Linked DNA regions of Lonchura striata. The protein of the gene in region 1 binds, or shares a complex with, the protein of each later gene. Links are inferred from orthologs where the notes say so. Each region holds a gene or a part of one and is shown in the gene's direction. Other genes may lie near its edges. The genes, in order: INTS2, INTS4, INTS7 and INTS12.

Region 1 (7,807 bases):
TATTATAACGTTTTTAGTAGCAAAATTAACCATTTTTCCCCAGCCACAGTATTTGTGAAGAGTAATGAGCCATAGTACCCAGTCATGGTAAATGAATTTTAAAAGCATGGAGATGAGAAGAAACACGAGGAACAATTAAGTTTCAACCTATGGCTTCAGAACATCAAGATGTTCTTGTATTGGATTATAGTACTTAGTATTCAAAAATGCCTGCATCTCTTATTTATTGTAAGTTTTTAAATGTATAAATTGTCTTATATTTCTTAACCTCTTTTATAAAAATTTTCCTAGAAGGTTTATACTGCCTTCTTGCTTTAAAGCAATTGGTCTAAAATATATGTAATCGTCTTAATTAAAAGTTGCAGTAGGTTGCTTTTAGAGTATTATTTTTTTGTAAGGGGTGGGTGGGGACAGTAAATTTGTATTGTCTTGATGTACAGTCTAACGGGGATAGAGGGGTTAATGTCCATACCATTGTGTGTGGGGGATTTACAGCTAAGCTGTAGTTGCAGAGTACATGTACAGTAATGAAGTTCACTGTGTTTATATAAATTGAAAAGGTACCGGGTCTTACAGCATTTTATATCACACCTTTACAGAGTAACAATGGCAATATATAAGTGATATTGTAGGTGGTTTAACTTGTAGTGAGAATAACATGAATAAACTCTTCAACTGAAGTTTGTGTTATGGTTCAGGGCTGTGGCTAGATTCTCAGATCCACTTCCAGGACACGAGTTTTAATATCACAAGAACATCTCTTGTGCATTGTTGCTCCCTGGATATTCTTGGCACCGTGCTCACTGCATTGTTTGCTTCTGCTTTTGTGATAAAATGCGAATCTGAGGTGGAACACACAGAAAACTCTGACCTTATCCAAAGTCTCCTGCCAGGCTGAAATTTAGCCCAGCTCTAGCCATTTTACAAATGCAAAAATATAGTCAATCTTGACTTTAAGATTGGTGTGTGTTTAACTAAAATGTGGTGTATATAGATTCTCAGTGAATTCTGGTATTCAGATTTTATTCCACTAGTAAAAAAAACAGCACGAAACCCTGAACATTTTCCTTTTCCATGTATTTTTGGCACTGTGGTGAAGGTCCCAAGTATCAATGTATGGCCTTCCCCATATCCCATTTTCAGGCTCTGGCTGGGGCATGTGCCAAGGAGGCTTTGCCCTCCCCAAGGAAGGGACTGACAAACCACAAGGCTTTCCTAAACATCTCCCTCTATCTACAGTCACCATTTTTTCTCAGTAGTTTCCTTCCTTTTTTTCCTAGCACACGCCAAATGTCTGTGGCTGCTCTAAAATAGCCCCTACGGGTGCTGAAGAGCAGCTGCAGATGCTTTTTCTGCGTTCCTTATCTGACTGCCAGATGAAAAACTGAACTCCTGCAGTGCTCCCGGGAGCCTGTCACAATAACCCAAGTCCTGGGTCTTAATATTGTCTGTCTCGCTGGTTTAAACCTGTAAAGGAGCAAGGTTTAAGATCTATTTGTGCACCTGCTGTTAACCCCTCTACAAGGAAGAATTTGCTTGCATTTACCAAACTTACTGTGTTCATGAAAATCTCGTTTCGTAAATGCAAAAGACCTGCCTGAGGTGATTTTTTTTTCGTATGAACAGTCTCACTGAATCGTGTACATACAATATTAGCAACTTTTTTGGTTTTGTATAAAGAAGTTGTACAATTGGTGATGAGAATTTTCAGTCATTTCTTCAGAACAACATGAGTGCAATCAGAAGTTAGCATATTTTGATAAATAGAGTTAAAAACTGGGTCTGTCCATGACTTTATCTCGGTAATGCACCGCAGATTAAACGGCACATTATTGTCTTACAGAAGGTTTTTCTCATTTGGTTGGCATTTTTGAAGTGGAAAAGTGCTCCTAAAACTGGAAATTTCAAAGTGTATGTCCTTTTTTTCCTTGAGCTTTGTTGCTAAGTGGTCATTTCTAACCCTGGCTCAGTTAACCAAGTTCCAAGGGCTGGGTTTTGGTGTGGCTTTGTTTTGTGTTCAATCTGACTTGTATTCCTAAAGGTAAGTGAATCAGCTGCCTGAACCTTGGTGTAACTGTATTCTGTTACCTGGACCAGCCTTCCCTGTGAAACTCCTACTGTGAAAGCTGCCAGTTTCCCACTCCTCCCCCCCCATCAAATGCAATTTAAAGTAAATTATAATATTATAACCACTATAAAAGACTAGAAGGGCCGTTTCTGGAGTGATAGTCACAGCTGGCAATGTACAATCAAACCTGCCAGCACCATGGAGCCAACTATTATATTTGACATACTTTTTTTGTTAGCTACTTTCATTTAACTATTTTAAGTGCACATAATAGGTGGTTTATAAATAAAATTGTCAGAATCCAATAAATCGAGGTTGTTTAGCAAGTACAAGCTTAAGTAGTTGAAAAATTCAGCTACAGGTTTCCAAAACGGCCTTGCAAGAAAATGTTGTTCGTGTCAGTGCTTTAAGTAGCTGTGGAGGTTTATCTCTTCCAATGAAAGAAGCCGAGATCCTTCCATTCCAATTAAAAAATACATATTTTAACCCAGATGTTACTGCATTTAAGCCTTTTAGTCACATTTGACTCACTACTATTTGAATTAGGTTTCTGAAAACCATGTTGCTAAGACCAGCAAGGCCACCAGCTGTACTTGTAACAGCCCTCACATTTTAAAAGTAGCTGTAACATTTAGATATTTCTAACATTCTCTGAAATAATTAAAGATAAATGGATTTATATTTAAATCCTCAGCTATGTTCTTACTTAGCTGTCAGTTATGGCGCAGATTATTGTATTTCTATATTTACCTCTGATGGTAATTTTAACTTTGTGTGTTGCTATGAAGACTTGCCGATGTCTTTAATCAAGCACTATTTGTTAATACTGTAATATCAAAATATTATGTTGCATTATTTTAAAGCTTTCAAGAATAAGAGTAAAACATTTTTTAAAAATGCTATTGCACCATATAATTTGCTGCACAACAGTACGGCACCACATATCAGTCTGTTGGGATAGTAACGCTGCATCAACCTTGTTTTCATCTGGGTTTTGTTGAAGAATTCACTCATGGCGTGACATTGTACAACATTACTGTCTCGCAACCTCCAGTTGGGAAGGTGGTTTTGTTTGTTTTATTTATTTTTTTTTTTCATTTTTTTAAAGTAAAGGGCCCAGGACTACGCTTCGTTCTTAAAGGGTTTTTTTACTATTATTTGTGGGTGTACTTTTTCTTTTCAGCGGAGTAAAGCTTAATTTACAGTAAAACTGGATTTGGGACCTACCACAATCCTCAGGGTCACTTTTTCAGGATGCTACTCATCGAGCTTTAGGTTTTTTCCGAGTCAACTGGACGTGAGGACCTTGCCGAGCGCTGCCTGGGGCTGCTGCAGCCTTGTGGCCTCGTGACTGGACACGGCGGCCCTCGGGCACGGCTGGACACACCTCGGAGCTGCTCCCGCGGCACGGCTGGACACGCCCGGAGCCGCTCCGGCACCGCACCGGCACGGCCGGACACACGGGGAGTCCCAACACCGCGGCCGGACACACCGAGGAGCTGCTCCAACGCCTCGCTGGACAGGTCCTGGAGCTGCTCCAGCACCACCGAGGAGCTGCTCCAACGTCTCACTGGACAGGTCCCGGAGCTGTTCCAGCACCACCGAGGAGCTGCTCCAACATCTCGCTGGACAGGTCCCGGAGCTGCTCCAACGCCTCTCCGGACAGGTCCCGGAGCTGTTCCAGCACCATCGAGGAGCTGCTCCAACGCCTCGCTGGACAGGTCCCAGAGCTGCTCCAACGCCTCGCCGGACAGGTCCCAGAGCTGCTCCAACGCCTCGCCGGACAGGTCCCGGAGCTGTTCCAGCACCATCGAGGAGCTGCTCCAACATCTCGCTGGACAGGTCCCGGAGCTGCTCCAACGCCTCGCCGGACAGGTCCCGGAGCTGTTCCAGCACCACCGAGGAGCTGCTCCAACGTCTCCCTGGACAGGTCCCGGAGCTGCTCCAACGCCTCGCCGGACAGGTCCCGGAGCTGTTCCAGCACCATCGAGGAGCTGCTCCAACATCTTGCTGGACAGGTCCCGGAGCTGCTCCAACACCTCGCCGGACAGGTCCCGGAGCTGTTCCAGCACCACCGAGGAGCTGCTCCAACATCTCGCTGGACAGGTCCCGCAGCTGCTCCAACGTCTCGCCGGACAGGTCCCGGAGCTGCTCCAACGCCTCGCCGGACAGGTCCCAGAGCTGTTCCAGCACCACCGAGGAGCTGCTCCAATGTCTCACTGGACAGGTCCTGGAGCTGTTCCAGCACCACCGAGGAGCTGCTCCAACATCTCGCCGGACAGGTCCCGGAGCTGTTCCAATGCCTCGCCGGACAGGTCCCGGAGCTGTTCCAGCACCCCTCGGGCACGGCTGGATGTGCCAGGGAGCCTCGCATTTCATCGTGACAAAACACAGAAAAGAAAAAGCGGATTTAAGGAACAAACACTATTTCTGCCGAATGCCATAAACACTGAGTTGTACAAATTGTGATCGAGGAAATGAAGAAGAAAAAAAAAAAAACACAAAACAAAAAAAGGTTTATACTTTTTAAAAAAAGAAAAAAAATTCAAATGGAATAAATTATTCATGAAGCCTTGATTGTGATGTGGGTTTCTTGAGGGGGCGGGGAGGGCGGTGCCCCTCAGCCTTTCCCGCCCCTCAGCTTTTCCCGCCTCTCCCTTTCCGCCCCTCAGCCGTTCCCGCCCCTCGGCCCTCCCGCCGTGACGTCACTTCCCGCTTCCCCCGGTAGTGGCGGCGGGTGGGCGCGGGGGCCGTGAGGGAGCCGCGGCTGCCGCCATGTCCGAGTGCTCGGCGCTGCAGTTCGTCAGCCCCTACGCCTTCGAGGCGATGCAGAAGGTGGACGTGGTGCGCCTGGCCGCGCTGAGCGACCCCGAGCTGCGGCTGCTGCTGCCTTGCCTGGTGCGCATGGCGCTGTGCGCGCCCGCCGACCAGAGCCAGAGCTGGGCGCAGGACAAGAAGCTGATCCTGCGGCTGCTCTCGGGGGTCGAGGCGGTCAATTCCATCGTGGCGCTGCTGTCCGTGGACTTCCACGCGCTGGAGCAGGACGCCAGCAAGGAGCAGCAGCTCCGGTAACGCAGAGAGCGTGGCGGAAGCGCTGTGTGGCTTTTCCAGCTGTTCCGATTGCTGCAGTTTTTTAAACCCGGCCATTCGTGTCCCTCGATGCTGTCCTAGGAAAGCCCTGGGGTTTAGCTGTGTGTCCTGGGACCTGTCCCCGCCGTGCTCCGCGGAGGTGCGGGATGCGCTGCGGGAGCTGCCCGGCAGGGAAGGGCTGGCATGGCTCTGTGGGATGGAGGCACAGCTCAGGTGGATGCCCTTTCCTGACGCTTTGTGCTGCTGGGGAATAGAAGCACTTGAAGTTTTGATAATGTACTGAATTAGCTTTCTTGTACTGCAGTACAGCAGTCTTTATAATAAGGACAGAAAAGATCCCTAGGGAACTGCTGCCTTCCTTTAGCTGGAAGCATTTCTGTCTTTGCAGAAACGTTTAATGCTTGTTGTTTTGAATTTTTGAATTGTGTGCCAGGCACAAGCTGGGAGGTGGCAGCGGAGAAAGCATCTTGGTGTCACAGCTGCAGCACGGGCTGACGCTGGAATTTGAGCACAGTGACTCTCCTCGGCGGCTCCGGCTGGTGCTGAGCGAGTTGCTGGCCATTATGAACAAGGTGAACTCCCCTGTAGGGGAATATTTGTGAGTTTTAGGTTGCCCTCTGAACTGGTTGTGTCTCTGGTGCTGCTGGTGGTGTGAGCACTCTTCTGTAGTCCTTACCTGCTTTATCAAGATTCAGTCTCAGTCTGATTGAACAGTGGCTTGTGCTTAAAGTCTTTGTGACTTCCTAAAGGAAATATTTCCTGATGTTATAGGGACTCTATAATATGCTGTACTCAAACATAATGCGATTTGGTGATCTGTCAGTGCAGAAATAATTTGGAAATGAAGTGATGACTTCTCTCCATCCCATTCTTTGCTCCTACTGCAGTGTGGTATTAGCCATCATATTTCTCTTCCCCCACTTCCTTCCTCACCAAGCATTTTATTTTCCTTGTGTAAACTTAGAATGTCAGTGGGCTATTTTTCTTCTGAAAAGAAGCAATGATACCATCTGTGTTGAAGTATTTCCAGTAGTAAATATTTCTTATTCTACAAACTTTTCCTTCTTGTTCTGTGTTGATAGCTTTATGGTTTTGGCAGTTTTTAATCTATTAAACATGCTGAATTTAAAACAGATTTAGACAAATTGCTTCATGAAACCTGTTCACTGATGATAAATGTTGTCTCACAGGTGTCAGAATCAAATGGCGAGTTTTTCCTCAAATCTTCTGAGCTCTTCGAGAGTCCTGTTTACCTGGAGGAGGCAGCAGATGTTCTCTGCATTTTGCAAGCAGGTGTGTTTCTGTATTTATGGCCTTTTCTGACCTGTCACAAATGTAACAAAGCAACTTTAGGAGCTTTTGTGGCATGTGTAAGGTTAATCTAAGAAGTGCAGCTTTCGTTTCCCAGTGAAACATTGTGACTTTTAACACCCTCTTTCCACCCAGAGCTGCCATCTCTGTTGCCAATAGTGGATGTGGCTGAAGCTCTGCTGCACGTTAAGAATGGAGCCTGGTTCCTTTGCCTGCTGGTGGCCAATGTCCCTGACAGCTTTAACGAGGGTGAGTTACAGCTTCTTCTCCAGCTTTTGAAGTGATTTCTACCAGCGTGGTTAATTCTGGGCTAAACCAGGAGTTGTACAGCTGCTGGATGCTGCCACCTGAGCATGTTGAGTCCCATTTTTTGCAGCCTGCTTGCAGGCCAGGCTCGCTGTATGTGTCACAGCTTTTCATCTGTAGGGCACTGTTACAAAGGCTGATTGGGCAGGGAATGGTGGGGGCTAAGAACCTCCTCTAATCCCTGCCAACGGTTTGTGTCCATTCCACTGAGCCATCTGATGATTCAAATTATCTGATGCTAATTTGAGTTGGGAAGGGCAGATTCCTGAGAGCTGCTCTTGGGCCTTTAGTGTGCCGAGGTTTGATTAAGAACGGCGAGCGGCAGGATGAGGAGAGCGTCGGAGGCCGGCGCAGGACCGAAGCTCTTCGACACTTGTGCAAGATGAACCCTTCCCAAGCCCTGAGGGTCCGGGGCATGGTGGTGAGTTTGTCCTGAGAATCAAAATTAAGAACCTTCCTTGAGCTTCAAACCCAACAAAGATGACTGAGCCTGAGTGTTTTATCCAGGTGGAGGAGTGTCACCTGCCAGGTCTTGGTGTGGCTTTGACCTTGGATCACACCAAGAATGAATCCTCAGATGATGGAGTGAGTGATCTGGTGTGTTTTGTGAGTGGTTTGCTGCTTGGAACAAATGCAAAGGTTCGGACGTGGTTTGGAACTTTCATCCGAAATGGGCAACAGGTGAGAAAATCTTAGAGTATTTTGCTTTTTAAGAAATGTTTTTGTAGCTTGATGTAACTCTTGGATGTGTGCTGCAGATTTGTCTGAATGCACATAAATCCCGTTGCACGTCTTGGAGAAACCTTTATAAGGCAACCTTCTCTTATGGGGCTCTCTATGAATAATGTCCCCGAAGGCAGCAGCTATTTGGTTATTCCCTGGCATGGAAACCAGGGAACTGTATGTTTGTAATACTTGCCTGATAAAAATGTTCATTCTCAGTGCTCACAGTGGGAAGATGCTCAGGTGATATAGTTAAACCTTGGAGCTGAAAACTGTATTTTAAAAAAATGACCCTCTTCCTTTGACTGT
Region 2 (7,991 bases), on another chromosome or scaffold:
AGGTGAGCTCCTGGAAAATAGGGTTGTTTATTGACTCACGCCTTCCCAATGGCAGGTGTGGCCCTGGCCTGGCTTGTGACTCGCATTACAGTAGTGCTGGCAGGAGGAAAGGAACTGTCTTCTTTCTTTCTTCCCTTTTCTTTTCACTTGCTGAGTACTACATAAAATGACCAAGTGCGAAGGGAAGCTGGTAAAATTTTTCAGAACTGAATATACAGGAAGGCAAATTTTAAAAATCCAGCTTTCCAGGTATTCAGGCCTCCTTCAATTCACACAATGGTGTTAATACAGAGGGTTTAAAAATGCAAACAAAACCACAATCTTTACATTTTTTTCCTCTTAAGTCCATGTCAGTTGCATGAAATATTTCCTTTACTTCCTAACTAAAGCCATACTTTTTAAGGTGCTTTGCGAAACAGCTTCTGTCCTTCACCTCCAACATTACGGATTTTTGTGTCTTCAGTGTTTGCAGCTGAACCCCCAGATGAGTGGAAGCCAATTCCACCCATTATAAAGAGCTTTAGTTTCTCCTTTGAAGAGGAACAAACAGTTCAGATGATAAAAATGAAGTGGCACAGCTTTGGGCTCTATCTTTGTCCCTCTGCACAAGGGGTGGGTGAGAGTTGCTGTAGGTGGCCCACAGGGACAATGCTTGTGAGTGACTTAGGAGATCAGTGTTGGATCCTGTAGTCACTCCCAGATTTCCTAGGCAGGGTACTTCTTTTCCGTCTTTCCCACCAGGAAAATGACACTTTCCTACATTCCAAGGATGAGGTGAGGACTTTGTCATTTAGAAATGTCCAAGTCTCTGCTGCTCAGGTTGTGAGAGTTGTATTAGCATTCTGCAGATGCTTTTTGCAATAAATCAGGTGGAGGTTCCCATCTGATACCCACAAAATGGGAGCTCATACTGCTCTTCACTCATTCCATCCTTCAACCACAACAATCTGCCTTTTCCTTGACGCTTCCATGTTGATGACCTCAAACTGATAATGAACATCGCTTTTCACTTTTTTCTTTTTCAGTTGTCACCAATTGTGGAGTTAAATGTTGGTGGGGAGATGTACACGACAACACTGAGCACCTTGAAGAAACACCCTGGCTCTAAGCTGGCAGAGATGTTCACCGGCCAGCCCAAACTCAGGACTGACTCTGAAGGGAGGTTCTTCATTGACAGGCCAGGCACCTACTTCAAATACATCTTGGAATACCTGCGCAGTAACCAAGTGCCCACCCAGTGCATCCAGGACGTCTACAAGGAGGCGTTGTTCTATGACATAGAACCTTTGATCAAGCAGCTTGAGGACTCCCCACAGATCTTTGGGGAGCTCGTGGCGAGGAGGCAGTTTCTGGCTCGTGTGCCCAACTACAGCGAGAACATCGAGCTGATGATCCGCATCGCCAGGGCGGAAGCGGTTGCATCCCGACAGTCCAGCGTCATCGTATGTGTGGTCAGAACCGAGGAGGACGCAGCCAGGTGTCAGGATGTCTTGAACAGTTTGGACATGGATAAAAAATCTGTGGTGAAGTTTGGCCCCTGGAAGGCTGTGCCCAGTATTTCTGATCTGCTGGACTGCATTCAAATGGATGTTGAAGCCAAAGGGTATAAAATATCCTTTCAGCCCCATGTTGCTGAAAAAGGTTTTCGCTTCAAATCGCATGACTTCTTCTACAAGTTCCTGTTCACCTGGTGGTAGCAAAGTGCTGCCATTGGTAGGGAACATTAGAAAGCAATCACTGGAACAAATTAACCTGGACTGTGGAGACTAAACGACGAGCTACCAGAGGGACAGGAAGAAACACACAGGCCAATGAAAGGATCTCTTTTGGCTGTTTGCCATATCAAAGAGCACTTAAGAGCCACTTTACTTGGGCTTTAGGGGATAACTTTTTAGGGGATTTAAAAGGCTCCAGAAAAGGGACAAATTTTACTCTTCAATGTTGCTTACTATTCATTCAGTTCAAAGAGATGGATCTGTGAATAGAGCCAACCTCACTCAACCTAAGGGAAATGAATAATCCCAAATATGTCTCGTGAACATGTAGAGTTGCTCTCTCAGTGCAAATGGGAACAGGTCATATATGTGGAAATCCTGACTGAAACAGTGATATTACCACATACTTGAATTAAAATTGGTTTCTAAATGGGAAGGCAAAAGCAATTTTTCTCTCTCCTTTCTACACTATAATCTGGGTTAAAAGGAAGGATTCAGTTCCTCTGATTGCTTCTTATTCCTCCAGCAGACAGCCTACTCTCTACTCAATGTATTTATTACAATTATTTATTATTTGTTCTGAAGGAAAGACGGAGAACCTCATCTACGGTCCATGATCAACAAAAGGCAAAAACATCACTGATGTGAGGAGTTTATAATCTAAGGACACACACTCCTCTTTCAGACCACACAATCTTAATCTCTTTCTTATGACACTCATTATTATTATGATGCTATTTCTAACTACATAAGCTCCTGGAAGAATTGGGAAAACCTGGCACGATTTGGTGGGAAGGAAGTGGTACTGAAGCAACAGCCTACAAATTCTCTTTTACAGAACACAAGTTGCATTCTACAATGTGTTTTTAAAATTCTTAGAATTTGAAAGTTTATTTTTATACTGGAGATTTTTTTTAATCACTCTGAGAATCATAATGGTTGATTTGATAAGGATCATATTTCTTTTACTTCTTGGAAGATTAATTTCTTCCAGTCAAGGACAATAACCATAGAATCATAGAATGGTCCCTGAGATTTCAAAGGAATAAATTTTACAATTTTTTTGGATGATGCATAAGTGATTTATTTACTGACATTTCCCCCTCAAGATCCCCAAATTCTAAAGACCTGAAGTTTTGTCTTTAGGGAACAGATTTGAACCATTCCTAATTAAGCTGTGTTTCAGATGTGCTTATCCTAGCATGGACTTCCCCCCAGTGACAGCCATGAGTCACTCCAGCAACTGCGGGGCAGTTCTGCTGTAGGGGTGAAGGGACTCTGAGATCTGTCACATTCATTGCCTTGTTAAGAATGGATGCAGTCAGTGTCTGAGAGGACAAAATGTTTAGGAAATAGGCTCTTATGATCATAATCAAGTGGTTGGTGGTGCTCAGCCTGGAAGAAGAGAGATAGAGGAGGCCTCCCAGTAGACAAAAGGATGCTTTAAAGAGATCTGTTACACTTTGCACATACTGAGGGTGGGGAAACTGGCTTAAGTCACAACAACAGAGATGAAAATTAGACATTAGGAGGAAAAAAATCTCAGCATAGAATAGTTAAAGCCTCACACCAACCAACCTCCTAAGTCTCTAGGACTGCTGCCATGAGAAAATTGAATTGGTACATGCTTGAATCCTGCATTCAGTTTGGTGTCACTCACTCTAGGAAGGACATTGACGCCCTGCAGTGTCCTGGAGAAGGGCAATGGAGCTGGTCTGGAGCACAAGTCCCATGAGGAGTGGCTGAGGGAGCTGGGGGTGTTCAGCCTGGAGAAAAGGAGGCTCAGGGGGACCTTATCGCTCTCTAAAACTGCCTGGAAGGTGCTTGTAGCCAGGTGAGAGACAGGACAAGAGAAATGGCCTCAAGTTGTGCCAGGAAAACAATCAGGAAAAATGTATTCACTGAAAGGGTGGTCAGACATTGGAACAGGCTGCCCAAGAAATTGGTCGAGTCCCCATCCCTGGAAGTGTTAAAAAAATGTGCGGCTGTGGCACTTGGAAATAGAGATTAGTGGTTGGCTTGCCAGTGCTGGGTTAACAGTTGAACTCCATGATCTTATAAAATTTTTCTGACTTTAATGATTCTACTACTCTGATGGAAATAAATTTTCTAGTTATTTTTAATTAATTTATTAATCATAAGCAGTATATTATTTATTAGCATTGCATTAGTCTTAAGTCACTTTTAGCCAGCACGTAAGTAAGTTTCTTTACACAAACTGATATTGATAAGAGTTGGATTGGGAAAATCGCTGAAACTTTAAGTTTTGCTAAACTAGCCCTGATATGCTTTGATGAACAAAACCTGCGAGAGATGTATTTTTGAAAGTGGACACAAAAAATGCGGCATTTATAGAATATAAGGGAACTTTGCAGAAACCAGAAGATAACAAAGATTCTTCAGGATGTGCTGCAACACTTCCTACCTGGAGTGTTGCAGCACATCCTACAAAGAGTCTGAGAAATGGGGGCTGATTAACGTGAGAAGGAAGAATAAATAACCAATAGAGGACAGAATACTAATTAATGAAGAGAATTATTTAATAGAACTGATGAACATTGTGAAAAATGCCAATCATTTGATTTTTAAAATGTTAAAAGTTTAATAATTATAAAATGGTTATAAAATAATAATACAATTAGAGTAATAAAGTTTAGAGTTAGAACAATTACAAGACAATAAAAAGCAAAGAATTACGGATGTCCGGATGCTCTCAGACACTAAGTCACAAAAAGCACGTCTTGTGAACAAAGGAATTACACTTAAAACAATACACTCGTTGCATATTCATATATCCTTCATGGTTATGCATTTAAAACAAGAAACTCTGTCTGTTGTATGCCAACTGTTTCCTTTAAGCCCCATGGCATCTTCGAGTCTGAGCAAGGCCTGAAGAAATTGGTTTCTTCTGATAAGAAGCCACAAATTCCTCTCCTTTGGAAGATTTAGGCGTTCCTCGAAGCAAGTATTTAATTTCTAAAAAAAACAATTCCCCCCCCACACATAGTCTCTATTTTAACATTATGTTGGAACCTAAAACTATATTTAACACACTACGTAAGAGAATTAACACAGCATAACTTTCTAACATTACACATACAATATTCACGGTAATATTTGCGAGAAGCCAATCGTTAAATACGCATTTTTCAAAAACATCATTTCTTTGCTCGCTCAAAAAGCACCCAGAGGTGGCACAGCCGGGTTAAAAGCGAGTCCCAGCGAACGGCGGGCGCAGCTGTCAGGGAAGCCGCGGGCGGACGAGGCCGCGCCGCCCCTCCCGGCGCCTCCGCGGTTCCTGTTCCGGCTGCGCGGCCGCGCCATGGCGGCGCACCTGAAGAAGCGGGTGTACGAGGAGTTCACCAAGGTGGTCCAGGTAACACATCCCCCCCAGGCCGGGGTGGCGGCTGCGAGCTCTGCCTGCGGCGGGAGCGTGAGGCGGAGCTGTGGGGAAAGCCGGGGCTCGCCGGGGCCGGGGCGGCCCCCGAGGGGTCGGGCGGGAGCGGGCCGGGGCGGCCCCGAGTGCTTGTGGAGTCTCCCTCACTGGAGATGCTCAGGAGCGGTCCGGACACTGCAGTGCTGTGCAGCGTGCTCTGAGGTGAGCCTGCTTGAGAGGGAGCTTGGGCGAGAGGACCCGCTGTGGTTTCTTCCAGCCGGACCCGATGTGTTGGTTCTTTGACCTGAGCAGGGCCGTCACTGCTGCGGGGAAGAGGAAGGAACTACGGCGAGTTGCTGGGCTGCTCCGGGCCGGTGGGAGAGGGAGAAGTCGTGTTGGCCCCGGATTAGTTGTTTGGACCCAGCCTAGGGTGGGGAGAGGCCGTGTTTCGCGGGGACAGCGACCACCTGGGCAGGACAGTGACAACCGCTGTGGTGCGAGGATGTATTTTTTCTCAGATGGATGAAGGAGAGTGACTGCCGTGGGACATGGCAGCTTCCTTAGGCCTCCCCGTGTTCAGTCTGGGAGGAGTGGGTCTGGATACACTGTGTTTCTGAGCTCTGTCCCTCTGCCCACAGCAGCAGCATGAGGACCTGTCCACTAAGAAGCTGCGGCTGACCAAGCCCAGCAAGTCGGCAGCGCTCCACGTGGACCTGTGCAAAGCCACCTCGCCCGCAGATGCCTTGCAGTACCTGCTCCAGTTTGCCAGGAAGCCTGTGGAAGTGGAGAGCGTGGAAGGGGTTGTCAGGATCCTGCTGGAGCATTATTACAAGGTGGTGAAGCTGGGAGTCAAACATGCTTGCTCCTTCTACTCCTGTTTGCTTGGTGTGGGATGTTGAACAGGGGCTCACAGGCTCCTGTGTTGCTGACTCAGTTGCCACCAGCCTGGGCTGAGAGTGAGCAGCTGTAGCCCCTGACCCAAGTGATTTCTGATTGTGATACTTGACGTCTGTGCTGATGGTTTCACCAGCCTGTGACAAGTTATCTCTGCACGTGGCTTGTGTGTAAGTTAACTTGGCGAGGGACAAAAGACGTGTCAAGTTTTCCAGGGAGCCCAGCTGCCTAGAGCTGTTTCAGCTTTATACAACACTTTCCTGACTGATGTGCCCTTACCTTGTTCTTAATCTTCTCTAGCAGTGGAGAAACCTTTTAGTTATTGCTTATGTAGTAAAAAAGAAGCACTTTTAAAATCATAGACTCATGGAATTGTTTGGGTTGGAGGGACATTAAAGATCATCCACTTCTGACCCCTCTGCTAGGGGACACCTTCTGTTAGACCAGGTTGCCCAAAGTTCCATCCAGCCTGACCTTGAGCATTTCCAAGTATGAGGCAGCTTCCCTGGGTAACCTTCTCTGGGCCAGTACCTCACTGCCCTCTCAGTGAAGAATTTCTTCCTAATATCAAATCTATGAAGAAAACTGTCCAAACTTCTCCAATTAGCAAGCAGTAGAACAAGGAGATGGCCTCAAGCTGCTCCAAGGAGGTTTAGCTTGGACATTTGGAGAACTTTCCACACTGAAAAGATTATCAAGCACTGGAACAGACTGCCCAAAGCAGTGGTTGAGTCACTGTCCCTGAAGGTATTTCAAAGATGTGTAGATGTGGCACTTGGGGACACAGTTTAGTGGTAGACTTGTCAGTGCTAGGTTAAGGGTTGGACTTGATGACCTTAGAGGTCTTTTCCAACATAAATGATTCTCTGATTCTATGAAATACAGAGTTCCTGGTCAAATAACAGGTTCATTGTACTTGAAATTTGTTTTGTAGCTTGTATTAGAAGAAAGACTCATGAACCTGCAGACAGGATCACACTGGCAAGAGCACAGCCTGTTACAGGATCCAGCTTTTAAAAATACTGCTTTCAAAACTACCATAGCTGACATTATTTTACTTACAGACAAAATTTTCGAAAGAACTTGTTTCTTAGTACTCCATAACACACTTTTCCTGGTCATCCAGAAACCTGACCCTGAAAGCTGTAACTGCAGTGGAAGTTATGTGATGATTTATTTGTTTGAAGTGTCATTGATTTGTTTAAGATGGTCTGTAGCCTCATGCTCTTTCATCCCTATATATTTTGGTAGGGCAGTACTGATGACAGCATTCATTTTTCAAACACATAGCTTCAACCCTAAAATAAAAAATGCATCTCAGTTTAGTTGAGAAAGGGACTGCTACTTTGGGTGTCACATTTGTCACTTGGAGGCTGTGTGTGGCACTGAAGTCTCTCTTAAATACTTGACAGATATAACAGTTGTAACTGTAAAATTTCTTGTTGAAAGATGGGATATTTGTTAATGTAATTTTTCTGCAACTCTGAATGTTGCACAAATGCTGATAAGATCCATGTATGACACCCAGATGACTTTTTGCCTTTCTACTCTACATTGGATGTCCTTGGCAATACAATGAGAGAGGGTCCAGTTATGACCCAAAGTCTTGGGTACATGAGTCTCTAGAAACCACGAAATAAATCTCGAAAATGCATGAGCTTTTGAAATTAATTTTAAAGGAATATTCATTGATGATGGTTACTTATGTAATTATCACCTGTGACAGCATTTGCTGTTTCTTAAATGAGTAGATGTATATAGGTAATATATGCTGTTTTCTTTTTTTTTCTTTAACCTTGCTGGACTGGGGCTTTTTTTGGGTGTTGTTTCCTTCCAGGAGAATGATGCCTCTGTAAGACTGAAGATTGCATCCTTGCTGGGGTTGTTGTCAAAGACTGCAGGATTTTCCCCAGACTGCATTATGGATGATGCCATTAACACCCTTCAGAATGAGAGTAAGTCTCACTTTTGATGTGATGCTTGAGGTCAAGGTGGAATCATGCTGT
Region 3 (7,170 bases), on another chromosome or scaffold:
TTACCACATACAAGCCACATATTTCTCACTACATTTACTTAGGAAGAATTCTGTGAATACCACTGTCCCCAGAAGGAACATTTTGTTTGTTGCCCAGATACCCACCACCAAGGGAGCAAGTCCTCTCAGGTTCTGCCTCCTCTTCTTCAGTTTGGAAGGAGTCTGCTTCTCAGCCACATTGTGTGCTCCACTGATTTGATTTACCTGCCTGTAAAAGCCATCTGAAAGAAATCAAAGACATCTCAATTAGTAGTTTATATGCAATTTTGCTATCACTTTAATAAAACAGGCATCAGTTTGGGATTAGACCTAAAAGGTAACTTAGGTTAACCTTTAAAATCATACATGCATCCTGAAAACAAAAATTACTTATATACAAAACCAGTGAGAAAAACACAGTGCAAAAAACTGCAGAGGTCAGTGTAGCATGAACATTGAAACTAAAACTGATCTAGGCAGACTGCCTTTGGAAATTATTACCCCTTTATCTGTTTTTCACATGCATCCCGGTCTGAGTGTTCTACCCACTCATCCCAAGCAGAACTGCACTCACTGGAAGATTTCCAGTGCTCTATTTTATAATTTCCTGTTCAGCCTTTTGTCTATTACCTTTAGAAATGTACTGCCTTACTAGAGTAAGGCGACTGTTCTACTTTTTTTTTTCCTACACCTTCCACTTCAATCATGTGGAGTCAGTCAACTTTTCATTCACTTGCCTGCTTGAAAAGCCAAGGAACCTGGGACAGATGGAAGAGCAAGACATGTTCAGGCAAAGAAACTGGTGTGGCAGAGCAGGGAACTGGGAAATGGCATAAGGGGAAGGGGCTGGAGAAGGAAAAGCTCCAGGAAACAGAGGAGCAGAATGAGCTCACATATTTATAGTAGGTGCTCCCACAATATATTCAGTTGCTACCAGCACTCACAAGCTCCTTTTTCTTACATTTTCTGCCTTCCTTTCTACTCTGGCAGGAGCCTTTCCAGCTTTTCCTCACCCCTCTGGATGGCTCTGACCTAAGCAATCTCTCCTATCTCATCTGCTTTGCACTGCCCTAGCAGGGATGTATTCTATACAGCCTCATGTCTTTACCTACACACATGGAATTCTCAAACCAGCCTGTGGTTTGATGCTGCACATCATCAACTGCTGCAAAGTAGAGAAATGTCTTATACATATATAACAGAGATACCTATTCCATTCTCTTACAGCACCTAAAGCAGTAAAGTTATCTGAGAAGCCTCTGCTGCCTACATTGTAATTAAAAGTATCAGTCCAACAAGTCCATCTGAGCAGTCCTTTTACACGAGATACCAAGCTTTGTTGATACATATTTGAAAGTTTATTTACCTTTCTTGTTGCACCTGGTATCCCAAACCATGATGTTTCCATCTCTCCCTCCAGTACAGAAAACAGCTGCAAGAAAAAAAAGTGTTATTACCTTCTAAAAGCATTCATTTAATTAACTGAATGCAGTACAATGCACCTATGTACCTCTGGCTCTTCTGTCCCAACACTTGTGATGCCAGTCCTGGAAATATAAAACTCAGGCCATTGTTTTTCCATGCTTTTTGACTTGCTATCTTTCCCTTACTATCCTTTTCTTACTCCCACTAGAGAAACCAGCTCATGGAAAGTATATTCACACGCTTGGGTATGGAAGCAGATATCCTATCTTTGCCCAAGATCAGCAATGTGCTGATTTTAGCATAAGGACACCATCGAGTTCTAACTAGACAGTTTTGCTTTCCTGGCTGGGTCACTGCTCAGGCCTGTGCTATTGGTACCCGTCAGTTTCCAAAGCCTTTTTTCAGCCCTTAAAAGTACTTTGCCGGGGGTAAAGAAGGAAAAAACAGACAACAGGGAATACCAACATTTACCTTTCTCAAATCTAGAAAAAGCAACTGACTTGAGGCTACACTGGTGACCTTTGCATATGCCAAGAAGCTCGCCAGCTCTCACATCCCACACCTTGGCTGTCTGATCTCCTGAAGCAGTGACCTTCAGAGGGAAAAATAAAAAGCTTAAGTCATTTTCTGTACAGAGGTGCCAAGGCATTAAAAAAAAGAGATGGCAAAAGACTACTTACAATCCTGTGTTCTCCTGGCACCCAGGCAAGGTCAAACACAGCATTTGAGTGAGCCTGCCATTCTAACAAGAAAACAAAAGCCAAGATTAGTTCAGTGCATCGCAGCATGGTATTTTGCAAATGACATCTGGATTGTCATGAAATCAGAAATCTTGTCAACAGTTTGCCTTAGGCATGAAAGACAATACAGAACAATTCATCTACTACTGCAGTAAGAGCACATTGTGTTGCTGCTATGCAGAAGGAATAAAGTACTGCCTAAAATTTACGTTTTAAGGACTTGCAAAAAGCTCTCTTTGATTCCAGCAAGTCCCACACTTGTCACATCAAATGAAGATCACCTTCTATACATTTACCTTTAAAGATGAGCTTGCTGGTGGTCTGTGCTTCAGTATCATACAGTCTAACAAACCCTTCTTCATTTGCAACTGCCAGGATGTGCTCCAAATTTGGGGCTGAAAAGAAATTGAAGCGTATTATATTATGTAGCTAATACAAAATCCTACCCTTGCTCTTTGTGAAAGCCACAGATGTTTTAAATAGGGAATGCAGCAAACATAAAGCTGTGAAATAAACAGCATTTACATAGCAACCTAACTGTAAAAATACAGAAATACTAGCAAGCATTTTTTCTAGATGTGCCGTTCTAAAATGACTATACATGGGCAATCAAATGACTCCAGAAACAACTTTTGAGATAATACCTCTTCCACCAGCTATAGCAGTTTTCTAGTTACAGTTTCCTATCTCTAGAGTACCTATCATCTACAGCCTCCAGCATTTTCCATGATCTGACTTGGAAAAGAAGGAGGCCACCTTAGAGAAATGTAAAATCTCATGCCAAAACTAGAGTACAATGAATGAAGAAGTTTTGCCCTAAAGATCCAGGAGCTCCATTGCTTACTCCTTTCCCCCATCATGGGGAAATGCTGTGTGTAACTCCTGGTGACATCCATCCACCTCTGATTTCTACCTAATGTTCTCCACCCTATTATAGTTTTTAGATATTTTGAATAAAGCCTAGTTTTTCGCCTATGTAGCCTCACACTATCTCCAAGAGGACATGCCTTGAAGCACACACACAGATGAAACAAAGAGACACTAAAATAAATGCTTTATAGTTGCTTCTTTGAGGGAATACTTTCCATCAGTATCTAGGTGCACCACGATCCAAAGTTTATCACGTGTAGGAGCAAGCAGGCTGCAGGAGCAAGCTCACTTTAAAACAAGAAACTGCTGAAACAGAACCTATACCCTGGCCCCTCAAAAGATCATTCAGGAGGTGAATTTACCTGTAGAAAAGGTGCAGCCGAAAGGAGGGACTGGCATTCCCGTTCCCCCGTACGACAGGTGGTCATCTTCTCGGCTGCACTGGTAGCTGTCCAAGAGATGCTGCAGGGGAAGCGCTGAGGACCGACCTACAACGGGACAGACGGACCGTAAGCGCCTCAGACCCCACAGGCTCGGGCGCCACGAGCCGCAAGGCGGCCGCCGCGGCTGTGCGGGCGGCCGGGGATGGATGGGGAAGGGAGGGCGTGCGGGAAGGCGCGGGACCGGCGGGGAGGCGCGGGACCGGCGGGGAGGCGCGGGACCGGCGGGGAGGCGCGGGACCGGCGGGGAGGCGCGGGACCGGACGGGAAGGCGCGGGACCGGACGGGAAGGCGCGGGACCGGCGGGGAGGCGCGGGACCGGACGGGGAGGCGCGGGACCGGACGGGGAGGCGCGGGACCGGACGGGGAGGCGCGGGACCGGACGGGAAGGCGCGGGACCGGACGGGAAGGAGCGGTACCGGACGGGAGGCGCGGGACCGGCGGGGAGGCGCGGTACTCACGGGCGGGCGCGGCGGCGGCCCGGCGGAGCAGCGCGCGGCACAGCATGGCCACGGGGACACGGCCGAGCCAGCTCCCGCCAAACCACCGGCCCGCCAAGCGCGCCGCGAGCCCTCATTGGTCAGCGGCGAGCGCGCCGCGCCTCGCCCGCCTCCTCTGATTGGGCAGCACGGGGGTGGGCGGGCCGCGCCCGCCGCCGGCTCCCGCGGCCGCGCCGGGCGGGCGGGGCCGGGCGCGCGGCTGCGCGTGCGCGGACCGGCGGCGAGCGGCAGCCATGGCGGCCAGCGCCAAGTCCTTCCTGGCCGACGCGGGCTATGGCGAGCAGGAGCTGGACGCCAACTCCGCCCTCATGGAGCTGGACAAGGGTGGGCCCGCGCGGGCTCGGCGTTGTCGCCGCCCCGGGCAGCGGGGCTGGGGCGGGGGCTCCGCTTGGCAGCGCTTTGTGCAGGGCGGGGGCGGAGGAAGGAGCCGGGGCTGTGCGGTGATTCCTGCTGTCTCCTCTAGGCCTCAGGTCCGGCAAGCTCGGGGAGCAGTGCGAAGCCGTCGTTCGTTTTCCGAGGCTCTTCCAGAAATACCCGTTCCCCATCCTCATCAACTCGGCGTTCCTGAAGCTAGCCGATGTTTTCAGAGTGGGGTGAGTACTGCCCGCTCGAGCCTGCTCCGTGGGAACGCACTGTGCCTTGGAGTGTGGCTGCGCTGGGATCTGGCATGGCCTGCTTGCCTGCCAGCACCGTTCTGGTACCCGGTCTGTTGCGGCTGTGCTTGATTGGAACTTGTTTTCCCCTTCTTTAGTGGGCTTGAGTGGCTGTGAGTGATGACACAGTTCCTTTCCATCTGTCCTGATTTGAGGATTCTCTCTCTGACTGGGTTAAGTTCACTGGTGTAAGTTTTGCTCCATAAGCACATTCAAATCATAACTCATAAATGGATGGATGATCACATGTGCCAATTTTAATCTAACAAAGCTCACAAAGTATAGCTTTTCCAAGTGCCTGGTGTCTGAGTGATGTACATAATGTAATCAAAACTCCTTCTTAAAAGCTTACAAAGGTGTATTCTGATGCTGCGGAATCTTCACTCTTGCCTTCAGGAAGGAAAATAAATTTGCTCAGCACTTGACAGTGGTAATTAAGACTTCTCTGTCTTAGTCTTGAATGTGTTTTTCCAGCAGATCTGGATCCCTGTGTGTGCACAAAACAGGCATCCTTACACCCCTCCTCACTGGTGTCAGCAAGTTCATTGCCCTGGAACTGGGCTTTAATTTGACACTACCTGAACTAGAAAATAAAGCAATAGTATGTTAATAGTATCTGTTTTACTCTATCAGTCTACGCAAATGTTTCTAAAGCATTGATATCTCCTTGTTTTAATTTGCTCCAAAAGTTGTAGTTAAATAATTTTAGTATTTAAAGTACTTGAATTTTTGTTTCAAAATAGCCTGACAAGGAAACGTATGTGTTTTCTAACAGGAACAACTTCCTGAGGCTGTGTGTGCTGAAAGTTACTCAGCAGAGTGAGAAGCACTTAGAGAAGATCCTAAATGTGGATGAATTTGTCAAGAGAGTTTTCTCAGTAATCCATAGCAATGATCCGGTTGCTCGGGCTATCACACTGCGGTATGTATGGCATGAGTGATCTGACTTACTTCAAATCTGGTGAATGATTCTGATTTACTTCAAACCTGTAGGTCTATCAATGTGCCTGTCTGGAATAACAAGACCAAATGCAAGGCATTGCATCTGGGCCACGGCAATCCCTGGTGTCAGTCCAGACTGGGGATGAACAGACCAAGAGCAGCCCTGCCTAGAAGGACTTAGGGGTGCTAGTGGATGAAAAGCTGGACATGACCCAGCAATGTTCACTGGCAGCCCAGACAGCCAAATGTGTTTTGGGCTACATCAGAAAGAGCCTGGGCAGCCAAAGGCCAAGGAAGGGGATTCTGCCTCTCTGCTCCCCTCTGCTGAGACCCCTCCTGCAGTTCTGTGTCCAGCTCTGGGGCCTCCAGCACAGGAAGGACATGAACCTGTTGGAGGGAGTCCAGAGGAGGCAACCGAGGTGGTTAAAGGGATGGAGCACCTCTCTTGTGAGGAAATGCTGAGAGAATTGGGATTGTTCAGCCTGGAGAAGAGAAGACTTTGGGGTGACCTAATTGTGGCCTTCCAGTACCTGAAGGGAGCCTACAAGAACGATGGAGAGCCTTTAGTGATAGGACAAGGGGAAAAATGGCTTCAAACTGAAAGAAAGTAGGTTTAGATAAGATACTGAGAAAAAATTCTTTATTTTGAGTGTGGTGAGGCACTGGAACAGGTTGCCCAGAGAAGTTGGAGGCATTCATGGATGCTTCATCCATGAAACTGTTCAAAGCCAGGTTGGATGGGGCTTTCAGCAACCTGGTCAAGTGGAAGATGTCCCTGCCTATGTCAAGGAGTTTGGAACTAGATGGTCTTTAAGGTCCCTTCCAACCCAGGCCGTTCTGTGATTTTGTGAGTTAAATAAAGGAGGCTTTTTATACATTGCTCATAGAGTTAAAAGCAGAAACATCTGTCTTTCAAAGGCATGAATGATAAGGATTGGTAATAACAAGGACAAGGTAGTAACCACTTGTGATGGTAAGAATTTTGTGAATAAGTAGAACAAGGTTATTAACCATTTATGATGGTAAGAATTTTGTGGATGGTCCCAGGCAAAACATAATTTGCAGTGTTGAAATTTTATGTACACCAGAGAAGAAAACTGAATCTGTTGTATGCATAACCCAGACAGGAGCTATATGTGATATATCTCATCTTGCTAGGATACTTTTAGACCAAGTGAAAGTGCTTCCTTTTGTGTCAAAATAGTTTTTGTTAACTTGCAACCAAAACTTACATGAACCTTGTTATGCTTGCACTATGCTATTCATTCTGCCTTGTCCTAGCTAGAACTGCTAGATGATCTCTGATCAATAACTTCTAAGGAAATGCTGTTATATTACTGATTGCTTTGAACTTCTGGGAATCAAATGGGAAAACAAAATTAATCTGTCTTTCATGTCACTGTCCTGCTGGTTTGGTGACTGTGTCTCTAATACTATCCAACATGATCCTTTTAACTGCATTTTCCAGCCCCTGTGCAGGTGAATTCAAATGTGAAGAGAGCACTTTCTTTCTTTATATTCTTTTTGTGCCTCCATCTGGAACTGTTACTGCTGGGAGATGGGGAATCATTAACAGAGCTTTGATTGATGAGGTCAAGTGTCCATTTCTTTTTTCTTTCAG
Region 4 (7,742 bases), on another chromosome or scaffold:
GACATCTGGAGATTAAGTGGACCTCAAGATCACCAGCGAGGCTTTTTGTCACACACTGATCACCCACATCTTCGCCAGTTGGCACTAAAAAAACTTTAAATAATTTGCAGTCACAATAGGATAGCAAAAACAGTGAGATAGATGTATGAAGAGGAAAGATACTATCTCTGTACTGATGAGAAAAAGCCAAATATAAATGTTCTTCAGCGACATTATCTTTCATCTTCTTCCTGAGATGAAGTTCCTGAAATAGAAATCAGAGTACGACATCCATAAAAGAATACAGAATAGAAAAAAGAAAAGAAAAAAAAAATTAGAGCACTGGTTCTTCCACTATCTGCTACAACTGATTTTAACATAAGACACTACTAAAGACATCCTGCATCAATAATTGGCAGGCCCTTAGTTAAGGGAAAAGAATGCTTTCACATCTACACTGTCTCTTCACATATAAGATCAGGAATAGGAAAATTACCTCTGTAATTTTTTTTTACACTTTAGCGTATTTCTGACACCAACCAAAACCTAAAAAAAATGTTTCATTTTCAATTTTTAAGTACATAAACATTTTAAAGCAAGTTGGGTTTTTTACATTAAAATCTTCCACAATATTAACCATGCATTATTTAAAAAAAAAACATTTCCTGAGCACATATCTACAACAGTCAGTTCTCTAATACAAACATCTGTCTTTTTGTAACTGCTAAATGGCATTTAGAGTAGGTATTTAGGCCTATTTAGGGAAATAATATTGGTTTTTGTATTAAAAATTAATCCAGAGCTGGGTGAGATAATAACATAAGCAAATAAACATTCATCTCATGATACTACATGAACACCTTAAACACACAACTACTTTAACGCAGTCAAATTCAACAATAGCAAAGCTGAAATTAATATCTTCTCAGTATATTAAAAACTCACATTAATTTTCCTTACAGTGGGTTGCAAGCTACATTTTTCCTACTACAGTATTCCACGGGAGTTTAACACAAGGCGCTGAAGCAGTAATTTTTCTACTCCATCGCTCAGCAGAACTGCCCATTACCTGAGATGACAGGTGGCACCGGAAAGCCTCAGACACTAGATGGCCCTCGCGGCACAAGTGACACGGGCACAGCAACAGCGCAGCGAGGAAGAGAAACCCCAACGCTGCTGAGAAACGCCAGAATAGGGTTTTATACACATATATATAAAGCATGAATGGCACTAGAACAACACTGTCTAGATTAATGAGGTCTTTGACAATTACACGCATGATACAAGTATTTTTTAAAAAAGTTTTAATTTCATACATCTTGATTATTCAATTTATTTTTTTCCATGTAGACATGAACATCACACTTACTATTTCATATTACCTACCAGAGGGCCAAAACAATTGCCCAAAAGGGGGGAGTGGAAGAATAAAATCAAGTCTACCTGACATTAAGAATACTGATGTCTGTTATAGTGAAACATTTTTAAACCACTAAATGACAAAAAAAGTGTCTCTGCTACGAGTACTGCTGCTTTTCTTTAATTAATACACTGCCACACAAAGAACAGGACAGTACACAATGCCATACCTACTTTACCACAAGATATTTTATTTGGATAAATCTTGACAACATGGAATCTGAGACAGAGCCTATATCCTAAGTACACCTCTGTGGCAGAAATCATCCAGTGAAGGCACAGCCAGAGAGGTAAATCAGAGAGAGTTATTGCTACCGTAGTCATACCCATAGCTTCTAGTATTTAAACTCCTATCCTCAACTACAGTACCTCTTGCAATATTAAAAAGTACTCTTGTATGCATTTTGGTTAATATTTTTGTTCTCCATGTGAACTCAAAGAACTCACAAGTCCATCTTTTGCTCAGCACGCAAACCACTCAGATAAACACATTCACCTGATCACTCAATTTTTTTATTCTAGTTGATGTTCCTGGACTCAATCAGCTATTTTGGTCATTCTCATGCTATGCAAAACTACTAAATATTTTGGTAAACTCTGACAAGGTTTCTATTTCCAAAGTATATTATTCTATAGTTCCCATCTATTAATCACCTGTTGTTAAAATTTATTTTTAAAAACTTCTTACAAGTAATTTTAACAAACTGGGCTTCCATAATGACTGCAACTTGATATACAGGTCATTAGAATATCAACACATTCAGTCTGGATTTATTTGAATTGTTAGTTATTGCAAAAATGTCTATGTTTCTCCACCACACTGAACAGACTTCTTTCTCAGAGAGCCTTGCAAGGTTAAAGTTTCCCGTGTTCCTGTTACACGTGAAAAAGCAAAAGCACAAAGAGAATTTATAGCTCAGTGTCACACTGGAAGTCTGTCCTAGTGCAAGCCAAAAATTTGGACATTTTTCCTTAAAGGCTTTGTTGTTTGGTTGGCTGTGAGATTTTGGGGGTTTTTAAGGTCAGTCTGCGACAATGAAAATTACAGTCAGGCTAACTGTATTCTCAAATCTCTCAGAGAAGAGAAGCTAAAATAATGTGTCCAGGAGTTCTGTCTATAAGTGACTTTACCTCTGTTTCCTCATTGTTTCCTGTAAGAAGAAAGGCCTTCTTGAATCATCACTTCAACTGAGCTGCATACCCTTATACTGCCACACCCAACCCCTCTCCCATATTTTTGGATAATTCCTCTCAACATTTTGTCTCTAAGCACTGACGTTATAAGGTCACCTCCTATATTTTTTGTTTCGAATACTGGTGCTCTTCCACACTGTTTGGTTAGACAGAATCTATATTCCTTGTGGACTTATGCACATATTTTCAATTCAAAAACTTAACAGCCTAAATGGTTGCCCATTCTCACTTAAATCTTTTCACAAAACTACTACCTATCCATTACATGTGTTTATTAATCCCTTGGCAACTTACTGAGAGAAAAGCAGACGTAGACATACACAATAAAATGAAATGTGCAATACAGAACTAACCAAACCTAGTAAGACATTGTACTGTTTGCTCACAGTATTTTTTCCCAGCACTTTTTTCTCTAATTAGGCTGTAAATTCTGTGGGAAGAGATGGATTTTTATTCTATTGGCCGTATTTACAGTAGACACTGTTTGAAAGAGAGAAAATGAAAAGCAATGTTCAATGTTACAATTTGCACTGTAACTTAAATGACAAAGATAAATAACATTGCCTACCTTTGGTATAAAAGACACCTACTTTAAAATTACAAATAATATGTAAATGTAAGTTTCACTAGCTGCGCTGTTTTTACCATTTTCTCCTCCCTTTCAACATGCTCTAAACCACAGTTAAATTAGGTCCACTCAGTTGCCCTGTTAACAACGTAATAAAGAAAAACACTGCTTTAAAAACAAGTGTTTCCCATAAAAATTAAAGACAAATAAATACATAAACATCCTCTTCCTTTTGAAAGGAAAAAGATCAAAAAGATCCTATTCATTTGTTGGTTTCTACACAGTAAAACGGAACTTCTGTAAAGCAGGCGCGTTAGCATTTGAGAAACGCTTAATATAATGCCACTTAACGCGGCAAACATTTAACTTGGTGCGAAGCATTATTTGTGCTTTAAGGCACGTCACTTGAGAGCCTGGAGCTGTATTTCTATCCAAGACGACCCATTTACTGCACGCGTTCGGGGCCAGCCCTGCTCAGAAGGGGGAAACAGAACAGCTTCGGACCCGAGCTGCAGGCGGGCCTGCGAAGGAACAGAAAGCTGTGGTCGGTTCTGGAGAGCCAAATGCGGGCGGGACTCGGGGACAGGGCCGGGACACGGGGACAGAGCCGGGACGCGGGGACACGGGGACAGAGCCGGGACACAGGGACAGAGCCGGGACACGGGGACAGGGCCGGGACACGGGGACAGAGCCGGGACGCGGGGAACAGAGCCGGGACGCGGGGAACAGAGCCGGGACACGGGGGACAGAGCCGGGACACGGGGGACAGAGCCGGGACACGGGGACAGAGCCGGGACACGGGGGACAGAGCCGGGACACGGGGACAGGGCCGGGACACGGGGACAGAGCCGGGACGCGGGGTCAGAGCCGGGATGCGGAGACAGAGCCAGGATGCGGGGGACAGAGCCGGGACGCGGGGACAGAGCCGGGATGCGGGGGACAGAGCCGGGACGCGGGGACAGAGCCGGGACGCGGGGACAGAGCCGGGACGCGGGGACAGAGCCGGGATGCGGGGGACAGAGCCGGGATATGGGGGACAGAGCCGGGATACGGGGACAGAGCCGGGATACGGGGAGAGCCGGGATGCGGGGACAGAGCCGGGACACGGGGAGAGCCGGGACGCGGGGACAGAGCCGGGATGCGGGGGACAGAGCCGGGATATGGGGGACAGAGCCGGGATACGGGGACAGAGCCGGGACACGGGGAGAGCCGGGATGCGGGGACAGAGCCGGGACACGGGGAGAGCCGGGATGCGGGGGCCAGAGCCGGGACACGGGGACAGAGCCGGGACACGGGGACAGAGCCGGGATACGGGGACAGAGCCGGGACTCGGGGACAGAACCGGGACACAGGGACAGAGCCGGGATTCAGGACGGCAGCACACGCCTGGGCTCCCGCAGCACAGCTCCCTGCAGCCCCGCTCCCTAAAGCTCTGCTCGCAGCTGCTGTCGGTGCAGCGCTGCCAAAGCAGCCCCGGGGCTCCGGCAGCGCCACGTTCCCTCCATCCTGCCCGTTCCCCGCTCCCTGCCCTTACCCGGCCCGGCCGCTTCCGTCCCGGCTCCGCCTCTTCCTGCGCCGCCCGGAACTGCTGCGCGGGGACTGCCGTGCCGCCGGACCTGCCGGGGAGCCTTCCTCCTCCTCCTCCTCCTCCTCCTCCTCCTCCTCCTCCTCCTCCTCCTCCTCCTCCTCCTCCTCGTCTCCGGTGAGACACCAGCGGGCGCGGAGAGGGAACTCGAGAGGATCGGGAAGAGGAAATTTGGAGTGGGAAGGGGGAAGGAAGAGGGAGACTGGGAGGGGGCAGAGAACGACTGGGAGGATGAAGGCAGAGGGGAGTTGAGAGAGGGAAGAGGGGGTTTGGCAACAGGAAGAGGGAATTTTGGGGTTGGGAGGGGAAGAGGGATTTAGGAGGAGGCAAAGGGGGTTTGGGAACGGGCAGGAGGAGGGAGATGGCGAGAGAGCAGAGGGGTCTGGGGAGGAGAAAAAGAATTTAGGAGAGGGGAGGAAGAGCAGGTTTGGTAGCGGCAAGAGGCATTTGGGAGGAGAAAAATGGGGTTGGCAGAGGACAGTGGGGGTGAGCATGGATGGGAGAAATAGGATGTTGGCAGGAGGGAGGAAGGGGGAGCCCTTAGGCACACCCGGCCGCTCTTCCCCTCGGGCCCGGGTGAGCTTTGGGTGCCCTGTGGGGCAATAATGGTTGTAGGAGGATGGCATTTTATTCTTTTAAGCATTCTAAAGTGTTGCTCTCAGATGAGAGGCCTTCCCTTCGTTGGTAAAAAGAAATCCCAGGGAGAAATTTGCAGCGAGTAGATTGCGGAGGGTCACGTCGTGGCTTTGGCGTAACTGCTTCAGAAATTCATTTTTGACTAAAGCTTGCTTCTCTCTCTGAGACATGATACCCAGGAATTTGTACACTTGATAAGTTTCAGTGTGGATGTTGAATAATGCAAAGATGAAAAGATAGAGAGGTGTACTCAATTGGCCAGTGTTTTAAGCCAATGAGCACTGGCATGTTGAAATATCCTCGGGTCCATTTTCTGCAGAATATTGAAGCTCAGTGGTAGCAGGGCTTAGCAAATCTCAGTTGTGCAGGTGCAATTATCACAAAATATCCTGAGTTGAAAGGCACTCACAAGAATCATACCATTTATCAGGAAAGGGATTTACAAGGAAACATCACCACTGCTGCATGGAAGAAGTTTGTTAGTGACAGCAGACACAGATAAGGGTCAAACAGTTGATGTCTTCTTTGTCACAGACTTGACCTGTAAGGTCTCACAGGGCCTTTTGCCACAAGGCAGAGCATAAGGAGAGGAGGAACTACAAGTTGTGGAAGAGGATTGAAGCAGATTGTCCCTGATAAGTCCATAGGCCCACGTAGACTTCATTAAAGGGTGCCAGCAACTGGCAGCATCTACACAAAGCTGCTTTCTGTCATCTTTTAAAGGCCACGAGACTGGGGGAGATCCCAAAGACAGGAGAAAGGCAAATCTTATCTTCATAAAGGGCAAGAAAGACAAAGAAGAGAACTACAGACTGGTCAGCCTCATTCCTTCCTCCTGTGAAAGGATCGTGGAGGAAGCCATTTGTGGCAAAAGAAGGTAGAAACTGGGAAGAGCCAGATCTACCAAGGATAAATCATGCCTGATCAATTGGCATGTCCTCTGTGACTAAATAGCTAGATCTGGAGATGGAGGGTGTGTTGGATACCATCTGCTCCGGGCTTAGGGGGATATAATGGAAGCTTGAATTTTCTTGAGGGTATTATTGGAAAGATATAGAGCCAGTCTTCATAGTCACATGCATAGTGGGAGAATGAGAGACAGCACAACTTAAAACCTCCAATTCAAAGCAAGGAAATGAAGGCAGTGAGGCATTGGGACAAGTTGGCCAGAAGGATTTTTGCATTCGTGTCTTTGGAGATTTTCAGGATCCAGCTGGAAGAGCCCTGAGCAAACTGGTCTGAATTCAGTGTCAACTTTGCATTGAACAGGAGGTTGCACAGGGTGACATTGTGGGGTCCCTTCCACAAGGAATGATTCTGTAATCCTGAAAGAATTCACTGTTTTTGTGGAGAAAACAGAAAATATAGGGCATTAATGTAATTTTTAAAATATTGGATAAGCTGTTTGTGGTGATATTGATTGGAATACTAATTTAAAAGAACATTATAAAATATGTTGTAGAATAGAATGTAAAATTAAGGATGCCAGTACTAGTAACTCCATAGCAGGAGATCTTATAAGTGTCTCAAAAGATTCTTTGAAGACAATGACAAGAAAATTAGAACGGATTAATACAATTGTTCTCATTAATACAGTTATCCAGACTACTGAAGTGCGTGAGTTTTGAAATGTCCCTTGTGGAAAGTAACTGAGAAATTATCCTGTCATAAATCAAGTGCTGATTAAGATAGTTAAGCAGCTGAAAATAGAAGTTAATTTTTTCCTCCTTTTAAGATTTTCCTAGATCTACTTTCTTCAGAATCATCAGATCTGAAAGTGACCTGGAAGAGGCATTATTGGTAAATAAGGAAAATCTGCCACTGTCGCTGTTAATAGATGTAGTCAGGAAGAGGGTAAATTCTGAGGAATAGAGGGATCCAAAGTGACAGGGAAAAGTGAATTGTTTTTACAGTGGTAAATGAAAAATAGTGCAGTGAGTGTGTTGGAAGGAATTATATAAGCTGTTCGTTCATGTGACTTTTTTAAGGTAACTGCTACAGATCTTGAAGGTCGCTGAAAAGGATATGTGAGTGAAAGGCCTTTTAATCATAAGTGGCAGTAAAAAATAAAAATATTGATGAGTTTATAAAAGGATGGCATAATAGCAGAAGACTTTAATAGCATTGCAATATAAATAGAAGATGTGTACTTTCTTTGAAAAACATCTTTAGTAGTATACGTGCCTCAGAAAATAATAACAGGAGTTCAGAAACAGATGGTTGAAAGTATGACTGTATCTGAAAATGTAATGGAAGTAGATCCATTTAGCTGCAAGTCATGATGAATAAGATAATACATGGGCAGGTGTGCAAAACAGTAGATGGCAAATGAATGAAAAAAAAAAAATAAGAGGGCTCCTA

What was found.
Region 2: INTS2 (region 1) and INTS4 share a complex: the UniProt entries of both Homo sapiens proteins name them as parts of the integrator complex. The link is inferred for Lonchura striata from reciprocal best matches to the Homo sapiens genes INTS2 and INTS4.
Region 3: the proteins of INTS2 (region 1) and INTS7 are in contact, whole or in part, in a cryo-EM structure (PDB 8RC4), measured with the Homo sapiens proteins. The link is inferred for Lonchura striata from reciprocal best matches to the Homo sapiens genes INTS2 and INTS7. Residues at the interface, in NP_065799.2 of Homo sapiens: Gln27, Lys28, Val29, Cys48, Arg51, Met52, Cys55, Ala56, Ala58, Asp59, Gln60, Ser61, Trp64, Phe92, His93, Ala186, Glu187, Pro189, Ile194, Val218, Asp220, Ser221, Asn223, Glu224, Ser259, Leu262, Lys263, Arg265, His285, Gly294; in NP_056249.1 of Homo sapiens: Leu38, Gly39, Glu40, Cys42, Glu43, Val46, Arg47, Asn77, Phe78, Leu81, Cys82, Leu84, Lys85, Gln88, Gln89, Asn114, Asp115, Pro116, Val117, Ala120, Ile121, Arg124, Val153, Glu156, Val159, Phe160, Ala163, Leu195, Lys196, Pro199.
Region 4: INTS2 (region 1) and INTS12 share a complex: the UniProt entries of both Homo sapiens proteins name them as parts of the integrator complex. The link is inferred for Lonchura striata from reciprocal best matches to the Homo sapiens genes INTS2 and INTS12.

What each region holds. Positions count from the first base shown.
Region 1 is NC_134622.1:9,345,335-9,353,141, forward strand, and holds the start of INTS2 (integrator complex subunit 2), read left to right. Parts: upstream 1-4,795; 5' UTR 4,796-4,843; coding exon 4,844-5,136; intron 5,137-5,591; coding exon 5,592-5,730; intron 5,731-6,348; coding exon 6,349-6,451; intron 6,452-6,604; coding exon 6,605-6,718; intron 6,719-7,065; coding exon 7,066-7,196; intron 7,197-7,282; coding exon 7,283-7,456; intron 7,457-7,807. UniProt on the Homo sapiens protein: Component of the integrator complex, a multiprotein complex that terminates RNA polymerase II (Pol II) transcription in the promoter-proximal region of genes.
Region 2 is NC_134604.1:32,552,115-32,560,105, reverse strand, and holds the start of INTS4 (integrator complex subunit 4), read left to right. Parts: upstream 1-4,990; 5' UTR 4,991-5,037; coding exon 5,038-5,091; intron 5,092-5,729; coding exon 5,730-5,924; intron 5,925-7,822; coding exon 7,823-7,940; intron 7,941-7,991. Other genes in the region: BTB/POZ domain-containing protein KCTD14, read left to right, coding at 710-714, 1,026-1,697. UniProt on the Homo sapiens protein: Component of the integrator complex, a multiprotein complex that terminates RNA polymerase II (Pol II) transcription in the promoter-proximal region of genes.
Region 3 is NC_134605.1:12,060,489-12,067,658, forward strand, and holds the start of INTS7 (integrator complex subunit 7), read left to right. Parts: upstream 1-4,170; 5' UTR 4,171-4,187; coding exon 4,188-4,278; intron 4,279-4,417; coding exon 4,418-4,547; intron 4,548-4,576; exon of another isoform or gene 4,577-4,727; coding exon of another isoform or gene 4,728-4,795; intron 4,796-5,382; coding exon 5,383-5,529; intron 5,530-7,170. Other genes in the region: DTL (denticleless protein homolog), read right to left, coding at 106-221, 1,346-1,411, 1,876-1,996, 2,085-2,146, 2,441-2,539, 3,377-3,502, 3,916-3,961. UniProt on the Homo sapiens protein: Component of the integrator complex, a multiprotein complex that terminates RNA polymerase II (Pol II) transcription in the promoter-proximal region of genes.
Region 4 is NC_134606.1:47,849,248-47,856,989, forward strand, and holds the start of INTS12 (integrator complex subunit 12), read left to right. Parts: upstream 1-4,732; 5' UTR 4,733-4,862; intron 4,863-4,872; exon of another isoform or gene 4,873-5,321; intron 5,322-5,341; exon of another isoform or gene 5,342-6,258; intron 6,259-7,742. Other genes in the region: GSTCD (glutathione S-transferase C-terminal domain-containing protein), read right to left, coding at 1-244, 1,049-1,297. UniProt on the Homo sapiens protein: Component of the integrator complex, a multiprotein complex that terminates RNA polymerase II (Pol II) transcription in the promoter-proximal region of genes.